Rhinolophus ferrumequinum: one gene and its partner. The protein of the gene in region 1 interacts with the protein of each later gene in a pairwise test. Links are inferred from orthologs where the notes say so. Each region holds a gene or a part of one and is shown on either strand. Other genes may lie near its edges.

What was found.
Region 2: the proteins of LPXN (region 1) and HOXC9 interact in binary tests that used the Homo sapiens proteins (3 or more experiments, as listed by UniProt). The two-hybrid records come from large-scale screens. The link is inferred for Rhinolophus ferrumequinum from reciprocal best matches to the Homo sapiens genes LPXN and HOXC9.

What each region holds. Positions count from the first base shown.
Region 1 is NC_046294.1:10,983,614-10,990,767, forward strand, and holds the start of LPXN (leupaxin), read left to right. Parts: upstream 1-3,116; 5' UTR 3,117-3,242; coding exon 3,243-3,255; intron 3,256-6,649; coding exon 6,650-6,798; intron 6,799-7,154. UniProt on the Homo sapiens protein: Transcriptional coactivator for androgen receptor (AR) and serum response factor (SRF). Contributes to the regulation of cell adhesion, spreading and cell migration and acts as a negative regulator in integrin-mediated cell adhesion events.
Region 2 is NC_046293.1:53,785,749-53,792,902, forward strand, and holds HOXC9 (homeobox protein Hox-C9), read left to right. Parts: upstream 1-2,105; 5' UTR 2,106-2,116; intron 2,117-3,710; 5' UTR 3,711-3,748; coding exon 3,749-4,286; intron 4,287-6,002; coding exon 6,003-6,247; 3' UTR 6,248-6,898; downstream 6,899-7,154. UniProt on the Homo sapiens protein: Sequence-specific transcription factor which is part of a developmental regulatory system that provides cells with specific positional identities on the anterior-posterior axis.

The DNA of each region.
Region 1 (7,154 bases):
GAGGTTGGTGGGAAGAAAACGCACCTCTTTCCCCGCCTCGCGCGCACCCTGGAGTGGCTGCGCGCGCACCTGCCTCCCTAAGGAGCCGCTAATGACACAAGGGCTGTAGTCTTCCTTAAGCCAGGGAAGTAGCCTCGGCGTTCTTCTGCCCCACCCTGATCCCACTTTCCTGTAGGTGGCCTTTCTGACCCCAGCGCTGCCAAGTCTTGCAGGCAGAAAGGGGAAATTTTTTGAGCTGTCGCTTTTCCTTTAAGAAAAAAAGCCCCGTCCGCTGCCGGATGAAAGTCTCTTAAAAAAATGGCGGCAGTAGAACAGAGGCGGGGTCGTGAGGGCAAGGAGGACCCGCCTTTTCGGCGCATGCGCATGGTTAACTTGGCCAAAGGCATCTTGGGAGATGAAGTCCTACTTACCCTATGCTTTAGAAAAAAAGATAGGAAACCAGAGGAAAAGAGGATGCTGGGGAGTTTCTGACTGGTGCACGGTGGGGAAAGTAATTTAGTGTTTCCACTGGGTTTACTTTTCCATGGAGGGTGTGTTTCCGGGTTAGGGCGCGACGCCTGCGCAGACCCTTCCGCAAAAGTTGAGCCCGTTCCTGATCCGGTTTTCCTGGGAAGATTTTCCCTACTTTTTTATTTGTCGTTGGCGAAGCATGTATGGGGTGGTCATGTAACAGCCCTTACCTTGGTTTTGGTTACATGGCACCTCCTCTGGGGCTAGCATTCATATCAGCAATATTCGTCTCGTCATCCTGTGTCTGACCTACTAACCTGTAAGCCCCTGGAGGTCAGGGACAAAATGGTTCCGTCGAGTCCTGGGGGCCCTAGCAAAATTCCCACCACATTTGATTCTTAATAAAAGTTTGCGGAAAGAATTGTGGAGTTGCGTTTCTACCAGACATTGTCGAGACCACGGAGCTGGCGTTGGCTGCTTAAGTTGGCTGTGGTCCCTGGGCTGAAGGGAAGTTGTTAGTATGACCGGAGTCACCAACCCGGAGAAAACTGAACGCCTCCCTCCCCGCCCCTCCCTCCCCTCCCTCCCCTCCCTCACCTCCCCTCCCTCACGCTCCCAGCTCAGAAGCCACCTGGTTCTACGGTTTTTAAATGTTTCTGCTGCACAGGAAGCAAGGCCAGATTAGCAGCTTTGTCAGAATTTCTCTTACGTCCACTAGCGTGTGCAACTAAATCGTCCTAAAGCGTTAAACGGGAGTTTCCATTTGCTTATTTACAAGTTGGCATTTGGTGATGGCAGTGGGCCTCTCACATTCTTTCCTTTCTTCCTTTCATCCATTATAATCAAGGAGTGATTCGCAGAACCAGTTTCTTACCCCTGGAAAATAAAGTATCCGGAGGTAAAATGCCTTCAAGAAAGCGGATGGAAACAAGATCTGGGGATCCAATTCTGAATTTCACATTAATCATTCAGTTAAACTGCAGACACAGTCCAATATTTGCAAGCCAAGTACTGAAGTGCATTTTTCCTTCCAGTGTCTTGGCTAAGTTACCACTTCAGATTAGGCAAATGTTTTCTATTTTCTATTGAGTGTTTTTGCACTTTCATGGGGCTAATGGCATTTCAATTGTAAAAACTGGCGCAGTGTGGATAGGAATTTTTTCAAACTCATGTTTGCAGTGAGCAGACTTTTGGAACAGCACTGACATCCAATGGCTGCTCAAAGTAATGCAGAGTGGGAATCTCCATTAAAGTCTTTTTATTACATTTATTGGGGTGACAATGGTTAGTAAAATTACATAGGTTTCAAAGGTACATCTGTATAATACATCATTTATATATTACATTGTGTGTTCACCCCAAATCAGTTCTTCTTCCATCACCATATATTTGACCCCCTTCACCCTCTGGTAACCACTGAACTGTTGTCTGTGTCTATGAATTTTTGTTTGTTTGTTTATTCCTTTGTTGCTTTCAGTTTTATATACCACATATGAGTGAAGTCATATGGTTCTCGATTTTTTCTGACTTATTTCGCTTAGCATAATCTCAAGATCCATCCATGTTGTGGAAAATGGCAGTATTTCATCTTTTCTTATGGCAGAATAGTATTCCATTGTGTATATGTACCACATCTTCTTTATCCAATCATTTATTGAAGGACACTTTGTTTTTTTCCATGTCTTGGCCACAGTAAATAATATCTTAGGAGTCACTAGGGAATAGAGAATGAGTGGATTCCTTTAGATCACCTAAAAAAAGAAAGACGATTGTGTTGTAAAGTTCACAGGCTTTGAAGTTAAATGTGGATTTAGTAGTAGCAAAGCTACCTATTAATTCTATTTAGCAAGTTACTGCTCCTTGAATCTATTTCACCACTGGTAAAAATGGGGATATCTATTTCATGGGGCCATAATTATAGTTCTTTACATACTGCCTTCCCATAGTAGGCCTTCGAAAATGTTTTATTTCATTCAAGGTGAGTAAAAATAAGTGGTTTAAATAAAGGTGAAAGTTAACCCCAGCATCACTTTTCAGAAAACTGCTATAAAGCAATGTAGCTAGGCAGGAATTATGCTTAATTGGGATGTCAGCAGCTTAGCACCTGGTGTCCTAAATCTTCCAGTTTCATTCTTTATGACCCCTATAGTTATTTGCCTTTTGGACCACTGAAATAAACCAGGCCTGGAGAATTCAAATGTGAATATGTCTCTGCCACATTTAATGGATTTACAATCTATTCAAGAAATCAGGTAAACATAATTTCTGAATAAGTAAATAAAGACAGCAAAATGAATTGGGTGCTAGTTAACTCTGATGGAAATCTTATGAAGGAGACTATGCTTCCATGATCCCCCAGCGTCACAGAAAAAAAAACACAGCAGACTCCCTGATGTACAGTCACAGTGGGATACCCACAGTAGGAAAAAACACAAGTGTAAGTCTGCCATTTCCATGAATTCAAAATAAATTCTGGCACATAGTCAGTGCTCAAATTTTTCAAAATTAATTTTGAATCTTCATCACCCTGGCCAATGCACCACCAGAACTCCAATTTTAGTACCCGTCTTTCTATGTCAGTCTCATTTTTAAAACTTTGACCTACAAAAAAGAAAAAAAAAAAACCTCACCAAATCAAAAGAGAGGAAGTGCTAAGCAAATACAGGAACCAAAAATGGTTATAGAGGCTGCTTCACACTGTCTCGTTCAGTTCCTTTGCGGTCCTCTTCTTCAGCACATGCCAAAGCAGTTCCTCACAACCTGTGGGACCAGAGCATCTTTGGTGTGTGACAATGGAAGAGTTGGGTGAGTGAGGAGCTTCTTGGAGGAGAAACTCTGAGAGAATAAAGACTTGGCTACCATCTCCATGTGTGGTGGGGTGTACTAATAGCTAGATGGAGGGTAGTGCCGGAAGATTTCATTTTCACTTCTCTCCTGACCTCAGCCCAAACAAGAAAGAAGCATAAGGAACTACTATTGTTTGGGGAAAATACGGGTTCACTGTTTTCAGTGGCACAAAAGACGGAGAGTTTGGTGCTAACCACAGAGTAAACTCCGTTACAAATACTTTTGGATTGAATTGTAATTGAAGTTGTCATTTTATTATGAGCATTTGCTCTTTGGGGGCTAGTGGAGATTGTAGGGTGATCCACAGTTGACAACTGCAGAGATGATTTGAGGGAAAAAAGAAAGAAAAGGGTGTTATGAGGAGAAGACATAGTACAAGAATGAGGGATTCACAAAGGTTGGAGGAAGGCCAGGGTGGTTTCATTTGCTTCAAGATCTAGTATTAAATCAAGAAGACAGCACTCCAGTGATTTTGTTGCTAAGCTATTTATTCAGAGGAACTCTGAAAGAACAGATTACTATGGCCTGCAAATATGACACCACTTTCCATTCCAAAGCAATTAAAACTAGCAGTGAAACTATTGGCCACATTGCTCGAGAGAGATCCCTGATTTCAAAATTTGGAGTAATGAAAGGTTTGTCATTTTTAGGACTTGTTCCATATCCTTTGCCAACTTTTGTTGCTGGCTACCATGCTAACACTGAGTCACTAACCCAATTTCCAAGCTGTATTAATTCCACAGTGTCCTCGGTTTGGGTATATTTGAGGTATATCAAAAGTGTAAATAACAATGACAAAAAAGCGTATCTAGCATATTGTCTTTTTAAAAAATTGTTTTGAGTATAATTTGAGAGCTGAAGGAATATAGGAAGGAAGGCAAATTACAAGAAGAAAGAGGAAAAGGTGGTGTTTGATAAATACGTATTGAACTGTTTCGGAGGTAAAGTCTGTTTTGATACTTGGGGTAGAATATATTTTGGACTCTGGGGAGAATTCAAATTCTTATCCTGTGTGAGGGCTGGGGAATTGCACATTTCTACCTGAGATCTACTAGAGTCCAGCTCTGCTTTTTATTTTAGGGATTCCTAATGGCTTTCATGTAGGTAATTCAAAAAGGAACTAATACTTATTCAGTGACTTAAGCTAAAATTAGACATTTTTACATATGTTAATCAAGTTAGTATCTGACGCAAGCCTCTAAAATGGGTATGGTCCACTTTTTTTTTTTTTTTCCTCAAATGAGAAAACTAAGGAAAGCAAACATCACTCTCTTAGAAAACTAAGGAGAGTTAAGCATCACTGTCAGGACCACCTGACACAACAGAGTAAGCTACAAGGTATTCTCATTTTAGAAGTGTGTTGGCTCAGGTACTTCAGACGACAGAATAAGATAGATAGATAGATAGATAGATAGATAGATAGATAGATAGATAGATAGATATTTACACAGTTTCGCGTTTTCTGAGCAGGATGAATGGTAGAGAAATCTGGTCAGAAATGTAGAAAGTACCAAGCAGCCTGGAAGGTCACACATTTCCTGTAGCTGATTCAGATGACTAAACCTCAACTACTTTTTCAAATTGTCATCAGCCCACTTAGGGTGAGTCTGTCTTCCTGCTGTGGAGAAACAGTGTGGAGGACAGGCCGATATTTCTTCTCTGCTTCATTACAAGGGCATGCTAGATAAGGGGAAACCAGGAGCAGACTCTGCTCTAAATGAGATCATTACAACCCACTGAAACCTCCAAGAGACCTCACCTTACTCCTTTCACATTAATACTGATAATTATTTGATTTCTACAGATGAAGGGCTACAGAGAAGGATTGTAGAGATTTCAGGCTAGTATTCCCCCCCAACCAGTCATCCTGTTATTTGTCATACTGAAATTAGTCATTTTCAAATTACGGAATCTGGCAAAAGGCAAGATAATCTTGGGCTGTTGGGGATATGTGCACTCAAGAAACAGGAAGAGAAAGGCCTGTTAACTCATGACCCAGATGGGAGAGTTCCAGTAACTTCGACTAGCAGGTGCTTCTAAGGGCAACCATCTACTCTTCTACTCTACGTGAGAGTGGGGACTGGAATTTCTGACTTGAAGTTAATGCAGGGCCTGGGAGCCAGATAGCCAGTTTCTGCATTCAACAGCCGTGTGACCTCTCTTTCTCGATCTACAAAATAAGGATAATAATATCACCTGCCTCAAAGACTTAGGATGAGTAAATTAAATATATAAATTCCTGACCTAGTGCCTGATGTGTTAATTTTACTAGTTATTATTAATTTCACCATAACAGAAAGGTAATAATGTAATACTTGTAAAGTCCATTGGTTTTTCTCAAGAAGATACAGGAGAAGCAATCTCAACAATTTGGATTGCAACATCTTGCTTAATTTTGTAACATCTGTTTTTTCTCCATCTCCCTTTCTCCCCACACCCTAAAAGACAGACCACTCATCTTTGCTTTGATAATTTTGTTATGTGCTTGGAATATAAGAAAAAAAATCATCAGGCTTAAGAATAAATGTTACTATCCTGGAATATATTGTTACTATCCTGGAAAAACTGTAATATAATTGCCTATATTTTTCTGAAAGAAAAAATATGTAAGATTTACTTTTTTCCTCATTGGGGATTTTTATGGGTAATCCACCCCCAAATGAATGATAAAAATTAATATCTTTTGTTGTTTTCAGCTTATATACTGCATATCAGTGAAATCCTATGGTTCTCTACTTTTTCCGTCTGACTTATTTCACTTAGCATTATAATCTCAAGATCCATCCATGTTGTCACAAATGGTCCTATTTCATCTTTTCTTACCGCCGAATAGTATTCCATTGTGTATATATACCACAACTTCTTTATCCATTCATCTATCGAAGGACATTTCGGTTGTACAAAAACTCATAGACGCAGACGATAGTTTAGTGGTTACCAGAAGGTAAGAAGGAAGGGGAGTGGTAGATGAGGGTAAAGGGGATCAAACATATGGTGATGGAAGGAAAACTGACTCTGGGTGGTGAACACACAATGGGATTTATAGATGATGTACTACAGAATTGTACAGCTGAAATCTATGTAACTTGACTAATAATTGTCACCCCAATAAACTTTAATTAAAAAAATTATTATCTTGCAATAAAAGAAGTCAAATTATCAAGTGAGCATATGAAACCTTAGGAAATAAGAAACAGGTCACAGCATTTGAGTAAGGGAAGATGTTTGAAAATAGCCTTTCTGCAAGAGAAGAGGGAGATGAATGGAGGTACAATGGGGCTATTTAAGGGGAAAATTATTCCAGAAGACTTACACATTCTATATCATGATTCTTTTGTGTCTTGTGATATAGATGCTTTATTGGAGGAACTGGAAAGCTCCACCCTCCAGGACAGCAGTGAATACTCCAGCCCAGCTCCTCTCCCCGTGGGTCAGTGTTCCAGAAAGGAGAGTAACTGTGCTGAGACCCTTTCCATTCAGGATGACACAAGCCCTTTGCCGGTAACTTTTGATCTACTGGAGTGCTTTTAACATAGATGTTTGCATGCATTTATGACAATGAATTGTAGCTCACAAAAAATGATGTGAAAGGACAATCATATATCCAAGAAAGAACCACAACAAAAATCCCGCAGTGATCACTTAAAGGTGGTTATTTTGGAAAGGGGAGGAGACTTAAGAAAATCATCCTAGAAAAATAAGCCTTTGAGAACGATTTTTTTTTCCTAATGAGGGCATAGTAATAGAGTATTCCCTAATTCACATGGGATATTCTGATATTACTGTCAATAAGGCCAGAGATCACCTGGGCAAGGCCAGGTGGCAGCTCAGACAAGTCTTTTCGGGGTAACGTGTTA
Region 2 (7,154 bases), on another chromosome or scaffold:
AAATGCAGAGCGGCTAGCTAAAACTGGGGCTCCCCCCTCCCTAACAGGGACTCCCAGTGGCCTCTAGTCTCTCCGGTTTTCCCAATCCTCGCTGAGGAAAATTGAAGGCAGTGGTGGGGCTGAGAGGGAGTCTTGGAATCTGGCAGGAGAGTCAGCAGGAGTAACTGAACCTGGGAAGACAAGGTGTACCTTGGTGCCTCCACATCCCTGTGCGTCCACATCCGTGCGCCCCCATACCTACAGGTCTGGATCTGGGGGAGCCTGAAGGTCTGCTGCAGAGTCCTGACCTGTTACCCCACCTCCACATGCAGAGAAGGGGGTACAAGCCACATGTAGTTGTGGAACCCCAGGAACCTTGGCCTGCTGAACTCAGGGGCTCCCAGCCTCTTCTAGCCCCCCTCCCCAAGGCTGCCTCTCTCAGCAAGGCCTTGGCAAAATGGGGCATGGGTGGGGAGGGGATTGTGGGCGAGGCCTACCTCCTGATCCACAGCTGTGCCTGTGCTGGGGTGGGGAGGGTCTGAGTTCACCCTCTGAAACGAAGGTGACAATCTCCCCTCAGTTTCACGGAGAATTTGATGGCAGCAGGGAGTGTGGGCTGAGTGATGCTGGCTGCCCTGCTCCTGTTGCCTCTGCTGGGTGGGCAGACCGAGTGGGCAGGCTGCTCAAGAGTTGAAAAGAAGGCAGTGACCAAAGGAGAGAAAGGGGCATCTCTTTACAGTCACTGTGTCTGAGGAGCTCTCCCAAATAGTAGAGGCCCATAGAAGAGGGTCTTTAAGGGGTATCTTTCTTCTAGGAAAACTATGACTGGGGCAGATGGGCCCTGTTGCCTGGTGAAGACGTAAAAGTGGAGCAGGACATAAAACCTTCTCCTTCAGTCATGTCTTCTTTGCTCTTTGACTAGAGCGCGGCTCAGTCCCAAGCTGCTGGGTGGCTGCCTGGGCTGAGATGGGGTTCTACATCCCTGAGGCCTAGTGTACCCACAGGAGCAGGTTGCCCGGGAGGGGCAAGAGAGGAGGCCTCTTCCTCCTTTGTGTCCGGACAGAAGTGGCCGCTGCGCCTGAGCCGGTCCCCGGCAAAGGCCCAGCAAGCAGCGGACTGCACAATGCCACGGCTGCTCCGCCAGCTCTCACCCTACCCCATCCTGCCTGCCTATCACCGCCCTTCCTCCAGCTCCTCTCTGCATGCTTTCCTTCCCCTGCTCTCCTATCTCTTTTCATCTTGCCTCCCCTCTTTTCTTTAACTCTCCCCTCTCCTTTTTATCCTAATCCTCCATTTCTTTCCTCCCTCCCTTCCTTCCTTCCTTCCTTCCTTCCTTCCTTCCTTCCTTCCTTCCTTCCTTCCTTCCTTCTTTCCTTCCTTTCTTCCCTCTATGGGCCTGGCGCCGTGTTTCAGTTGTTCTATCTCAGGCTGTCTCGGGCTCAGTCTCTCTCAGGCTCTGTCCCCTGATGTCCTCTTGGTTGCAGTCTGCCCCAGGCCTGTCAAAGAGCTGGGCAGGGTCCCCAGCCAGCGGTGCTGAAGGTGCTGGGGATTTGGAGAAAGCCTCGGCAGGGGAACGGGAACCTCCTGTCTTTTCCTTGAACTAGTGAGGGAGAATTTTTGATTGACAGCTAACCCGACTCCATCAAGGCCAAAGAGAAATTCTGTTTCTTGCTGTAATTTGGATTTTACAGACCAGTCCAGTCTAGGAGAAGGGAAGATAATCGGAGCCGAGGGTGAGGAGGCTGAGGCCCCGCGTCTCCTTTCCTCAGCCAGGCACTTCTCACATCCCTCAGTATGTCGAAATCCCAGCCCCGCTTGACCGAAAAGGAAAGAACTAGAGAGGGGGAGGAGCAGGGACTGGGGAGGGGTCCTGGAAAGCTGGGGTCAGTGCTGCGGGCTTCAGATCTACCCTTCCCCCCCTCAACTTTCCACCCTCACACACACATACTACACTCTCTGGGACACCTCTCTCTAGCCCTTCTCCACCCCTGAAGAGATAGGTCCACATGGGTGCAGGAGAAAACCAGCCTGGGTTCCTACCCTTGTCGTTTGGTCCCCTTCTGGGGACAGGAGTGGGAAAAAAGGGCAGGCATCTCGGGTCTGGGAAGCCTCATCCTTCCCTGCTGCCTCAGAGCCTGTCTCAGTCTCAGCTCCTGCTTGTTTCCTCTAGTGCAAACTGGGATTCTTCCTTTCTGACCCTGAAATTGCACCCCTCCTTCAAACTCACTCTGCTATGCCTAGGATGCATCTGCCTCTAGGGACATCACCTGCCCTCCCCTTCACCCTTCCAGCCAACCTCCCTGCCCCCTCTCTTGCACCCACACTGAGAATTTCCTGCTTGCCTAAAGCTCACCTTTCCTAAACCACCATGGGACAGTCTGAGGGAAAGCAGAGGGCTGGGCACAGAACCCCAAATTCAAGAAGGAGGGTAGCAACCAACTTATTGGGGGAGGAATCCAAATTGTCTGATCTTCCCTACAATCACACTGCTGCTCCAGAATTCTTGTATCCGACCCCAAAGAAACTGCTTTCTCCCATCCCTCAGTTGCTTTTTTCCCCGTTCCAAAAACAGCCTACAATTTTATTTAATGAAAGACACATTTATGAACAATCAAATGATCCTCATAAAAATTTTATTGAAGGACGTAAAAACAAGCTACTTGCCCACGACCGAGGTCGCTCTCTTGCCTTGCCCGCTTTCACCCTGGCTCTCTGCAGACTGAACCCAGGGGTGACTTCTTTTTTGGGGGGGCAGTGTCGCAGAGATGGAGTTGGGGCCAAAAGAGGGTGAGCAGGAAGATGGGATGGGGTGCCCCACTTAAGTTGTGTAGATATCTCCTCCACTTCTTCAAGCTGGCAAAGAAAGATAGATAGACAATAAATTTAAAATAAAGACGCTTGACTATCTGTGCCAAAGCAAAGAGAAGACTTCTGATGATAAAGGTGTGTGAGGTCCAGAGGTCCTACCCCTCCCACCCGCGGACCACCTTCCCTAAGCTTCTCCTACCCCAGATTTGGGGGGCTGAATTGGCCAGTGGCAGAAGGACTCTCCCCTTTTCCTCATTCCCTCCCTCCACCTCACAGCTTCCCCAGTCCCCTCCCACTCTCCCTCCCTCACTGCTGCTGCTGCTCCGGAAAGAAATACATACATACACACTATTTAAAAACGCATTTTTAAAAGCCACGTTCCGAACTGACAATCGCTGATCTCGGCTCGCGCAGAGACTGCGGGAGCGTTGGGGCCGACAGAGACGGATTACGTCAAGAAATAGTTCCTCCACCTACCTCGGCGGCCTCTGCACCCCTGCGGGGCTCCCGCGCCCAGCTCAGCCCTGGGGGTCCGGGAACCCTGGCTTCGGGGACTGGCATTTTCACCCCATTAAGAAATCCTCCTGGGGTTGGGGGCGGGAGTCCATCTGCTTATGGTGGACAGGGGCAAGGGGGTTCTCTGATGAGATACGAGTTGTCTTGAGGGGGTGGCCGATGCCTTGGGTCCAGAGTTCTGGACCCCCAGGAAAACGCAGGTCGCGGGGATCAGCAGAGAAGGGGGTGGGAGAAGGGGGGGTGGAAAGGAAGAAAAAAAAAAAAGCCCCTGCGCATTGATCCGCGCCGTATTTTTGGGTAAATACGATCACGTGGGGGCCGGGGAGCCAATGAGCTGCGGGGAAAAGGCTGGAAAAATAATTACCTGCCTTGATTGTTCTGTGAGCAGATAAAAAGTACATATACAGTTCATACAATAATCTTATGTATGTAAAACCCCGTTACGATGTCGGCGACGGGGCCCATCAGTAACTATTACGTGGACTCGCTCATCTCTCACGACAATGAAGACCTCCTAGCGTCCAGGTTTCCGGCCACCGGGGCTCACCCCGCCGCCGCCAGACCCAGCGGCTTGGTGCCGGACTGTAGCGATTTTCCGTCCTGTAGCTTCGCGCCCAAGCCGGCCGTGTTCAGCACGTCGTGGGCACCCGTGCCCTCGCAGTCGTCCGTGGTGTACCACCCGTACGGCCCCCAGCCCCACCTCGGCGCCGACACGCGCTACATGCGGACTTGGCTCGAGCCGCTGTCCGGCGCCGTCTCCTTCCCCAGCTTCCCGGCCGGGGGTCGTCACTACGCCCTCAAGCCGGACGCCTACCCCGGGCGCCGCGCCGACTGCGGCCCGGGAGACGGCCGCAGCTACCCGGACTACATGTACGGCTCGCCCGGGGAGCTGCGCGACCGCGCCCCGCAGACCCTGCCCTCGCCCGAGGCGGACGCCCTCGCCGGCAGCAAGCACAAAGAGGAGAAGGCCGACCTGGACCCCAGTAAGTTGGGAGCAATTTTCCTTTACAACCAGCGCGGGAGGGGAGGGGAGGCCAGGCGGGGGGAGCCAGATTACAGCCCCTCGGAGCGGCGCAGGGAGCGCGGGAGAGGGGCGAGGGCGAGGGGGCGAGGACTCAATAAAAGCGAATTACCTTGGGGAGCTTTTAGGGGCAGGAAGGTCTGAGAAGGGGGCCCAAGGAGCCAGGTTGGGAGAGGGCTGAAGGGGCTCCTCTCCCAGGAGCTGGCTTTGATAAGAGACCCCCGCCCCCACATCCCCAGCCCAGGCTTTTGGCTCAGTCGCTACTTTCGAAGAAATGCAGAAATGCAGACAGGGCCAGGGATTGGGGTGGGGGCGAGGTTCATTTTATGGTTTGAGGTGGGATGGAGTAGAGATGAGGAGGACACTGGGGGCAGAGAGGAGATACCCCAGGGAGAAAAATCCCCACTACCTCCCAGCTAGCATGGGGCTCCTCACCCCACTAGAGATTCATAAGACAGGAGGTCCATGGACTTCTTTCCCAGGAGCACTGAGTGAAGGGTCTGGGGGATTTCACAGCCTAGGAACTTGGAGAGATCAGGACCTCCAGAGTTGGGGGAGAGAAGTGGGGTCCCAGTCTCTTTAAACTTGAAAGCCCTTTTTTGAGGGTCTGCAGGCGAGAGGGTTGAGAATGGAGGTTCAGGGCTGAGGAATGGGGAGAGACATCTCCCCAGATTAGAGAACTACACACACACACACACACACACACACACACTCCAATCAGGGAGCTGAGAGCCTTCTAAGTGTTGCAGAGAAGAGCAGGGGTAGTTGGGGGGGGCAGGTGGGAGCTGCAGGGCCAGAGAAAGGAGAAAGAAGGGAAACAGCAGGGGAGGGGGCGCAGCCCCCTGGGTGTGAGGAAGTGTCTGGGGGAGTCCCAGGAGGGGGCTCCAGGAAATCCTTTCCTCCAGCCCCATAAGGGGCCAGGGCCTAATTATACCTCTCTGAGCCTTCCCTCCTTGCCCTCAGCTACTCCCATAAACCTGAAATTGGAGGCTTGACTCCTGCAGAGCCTGTCCTGGGGCTGGCAGGAGGGGGGCACTGGAAGCCAAACAGGGAAGCTAAGATATAGGGGGGCCTGTTCCCAAGGCCAGCAGCTCTCTAGGGAGAGGAAAAAGGCTTTTCCCCAGCCCAGCATCACCCTGAGAATTCGCCTCAGCAGGGTTGAACTCATACAGCGGAGACAGGCACTGGAGAGGGTAGTGACGGGCTTAGGTACTCTCACGGTCAGGAAGCAGAACTGCTGAAATTTCAGGACTTGGTTGTGGGCTGGGAGGATGGGAGGGGGCAAAGGAGGAGGGAAGTGGGGAGGAGAGAGACCTCGCTATAAAAATAAAAAACAAGAGAGAGAAGCGTTTATGGGCCTATGAAACGGTCGGGAATTTGGACTTTTTATGAGGATATTCTCGAATTACTACTCTTGAAGCTGAGGACCAGACTGTAGGGTCTTTGATAGCTTCGATTTCCTATAGTTTTAGGTGCTGGAAACTGAAGGGGGGAGGATGGGGAGGGGGCAGAACGCAAAAGGAGTGTGTGTTTAGGGAAAATTCCTAAAGCAAAACGTGTCCAAATTCAGGTTCAATTATTGGGTTTGGGGATCCTGGCTAAGCCTGGGGGATGGGGTGGCTGGGATCCTGGGCTGGAAAGGGGCTCCACTGACCTCTGCTTGTGTCTGGCCCTCCAGGCAACCCCGTGGCCAACTGGATCCACGCCCGCTCCACAAGGAAGAAGCGCTGCCCCTACACTAAGTACCAGACGCTGGAACTGGAGAAGGAGTTTCTCTTCAATATGTATTTAACCAGGGACCGTCGGTATGAGGTGGCCCGGGTTCTCAACCTCACCGAGCGGCAGGTCAAAATCTGGTTTCAGAACCGGAGGATGAAGATGAAAAAGATGAATAAAGAGAAAACCGACAAGGAGCAATCCTAAACCCTGCCCCGGCCTGCTGCCTCGGCACAGCCAAGGGATAAACAAAAAACCCCACAAAAACCCTAACCCAGGCGGGAGAGAGCACGAAAAAGAAAAGGAAAAAGCAAGATAGAGAAAAGCCAATCAGCTTAAAAAGGAAAAAAAGGAAGGGGAAAAAGAAAACTCTTGCGATTTGGGAGGGTTCAGTGTTGAGAAATTGGTGTTTTAGAGTTAGTTCTACCCATCGAGGAGCAGGAGGCGGGGAGAGAAGCCGTGTTCTCTTCTCCCAGCGCAACTGAAATAAATGACACACACAAATGTGATTTTTCCCCTCCTTTCTTCAGAGAAGCCAGTACTTGAATCGCTATATTTCTGATTTTTTTTCCTGTGTTTTATTTGGTCCGGGCCATCCCTCCCCAGGCCTGGGGTGCTCTGCGTGCAGATTTTGTACAAAAAAGACACACACACATACACAATAACGATTCCCAGCCCAGGAGCTGAGGGGCGAGGGCCGGACGGCGCAGGCTGGGTCCGTTGGCGCAGGCCGGCGCCTCGGGTGTGTACATAGCAGTGTTTCCTCTCATCCCCAGCGTCCGTCCTGTAATGTGCTTCTGTTTGTTATGGTAGAACAGCTCTGTGTTAATATATCGAAGTCACTTAAAAAACCAGAAACCCAACTGCATCCAGTTCTCGTTATTTCTCCTCCCTGTGGCTCCCAGGCTGCTGTCGTGGAGGAGGCAAGTGCTCAAATCCTTTGGGGGAGGCTGCAGCCAGGAAGGGGTTCCCTCGACCTCGGAAGGGCAAGTGCCTGCCACTTCTCTCCAGGCAGGGTGGGATGGGGGTGAGGTCTCCAGGGGTGGGGTGGAGGCTGCCGTGGCCAGGGTATAGTTTGTGCCTGCTCTGCTGGCTGCCTGTGAGTTTCCTGGTA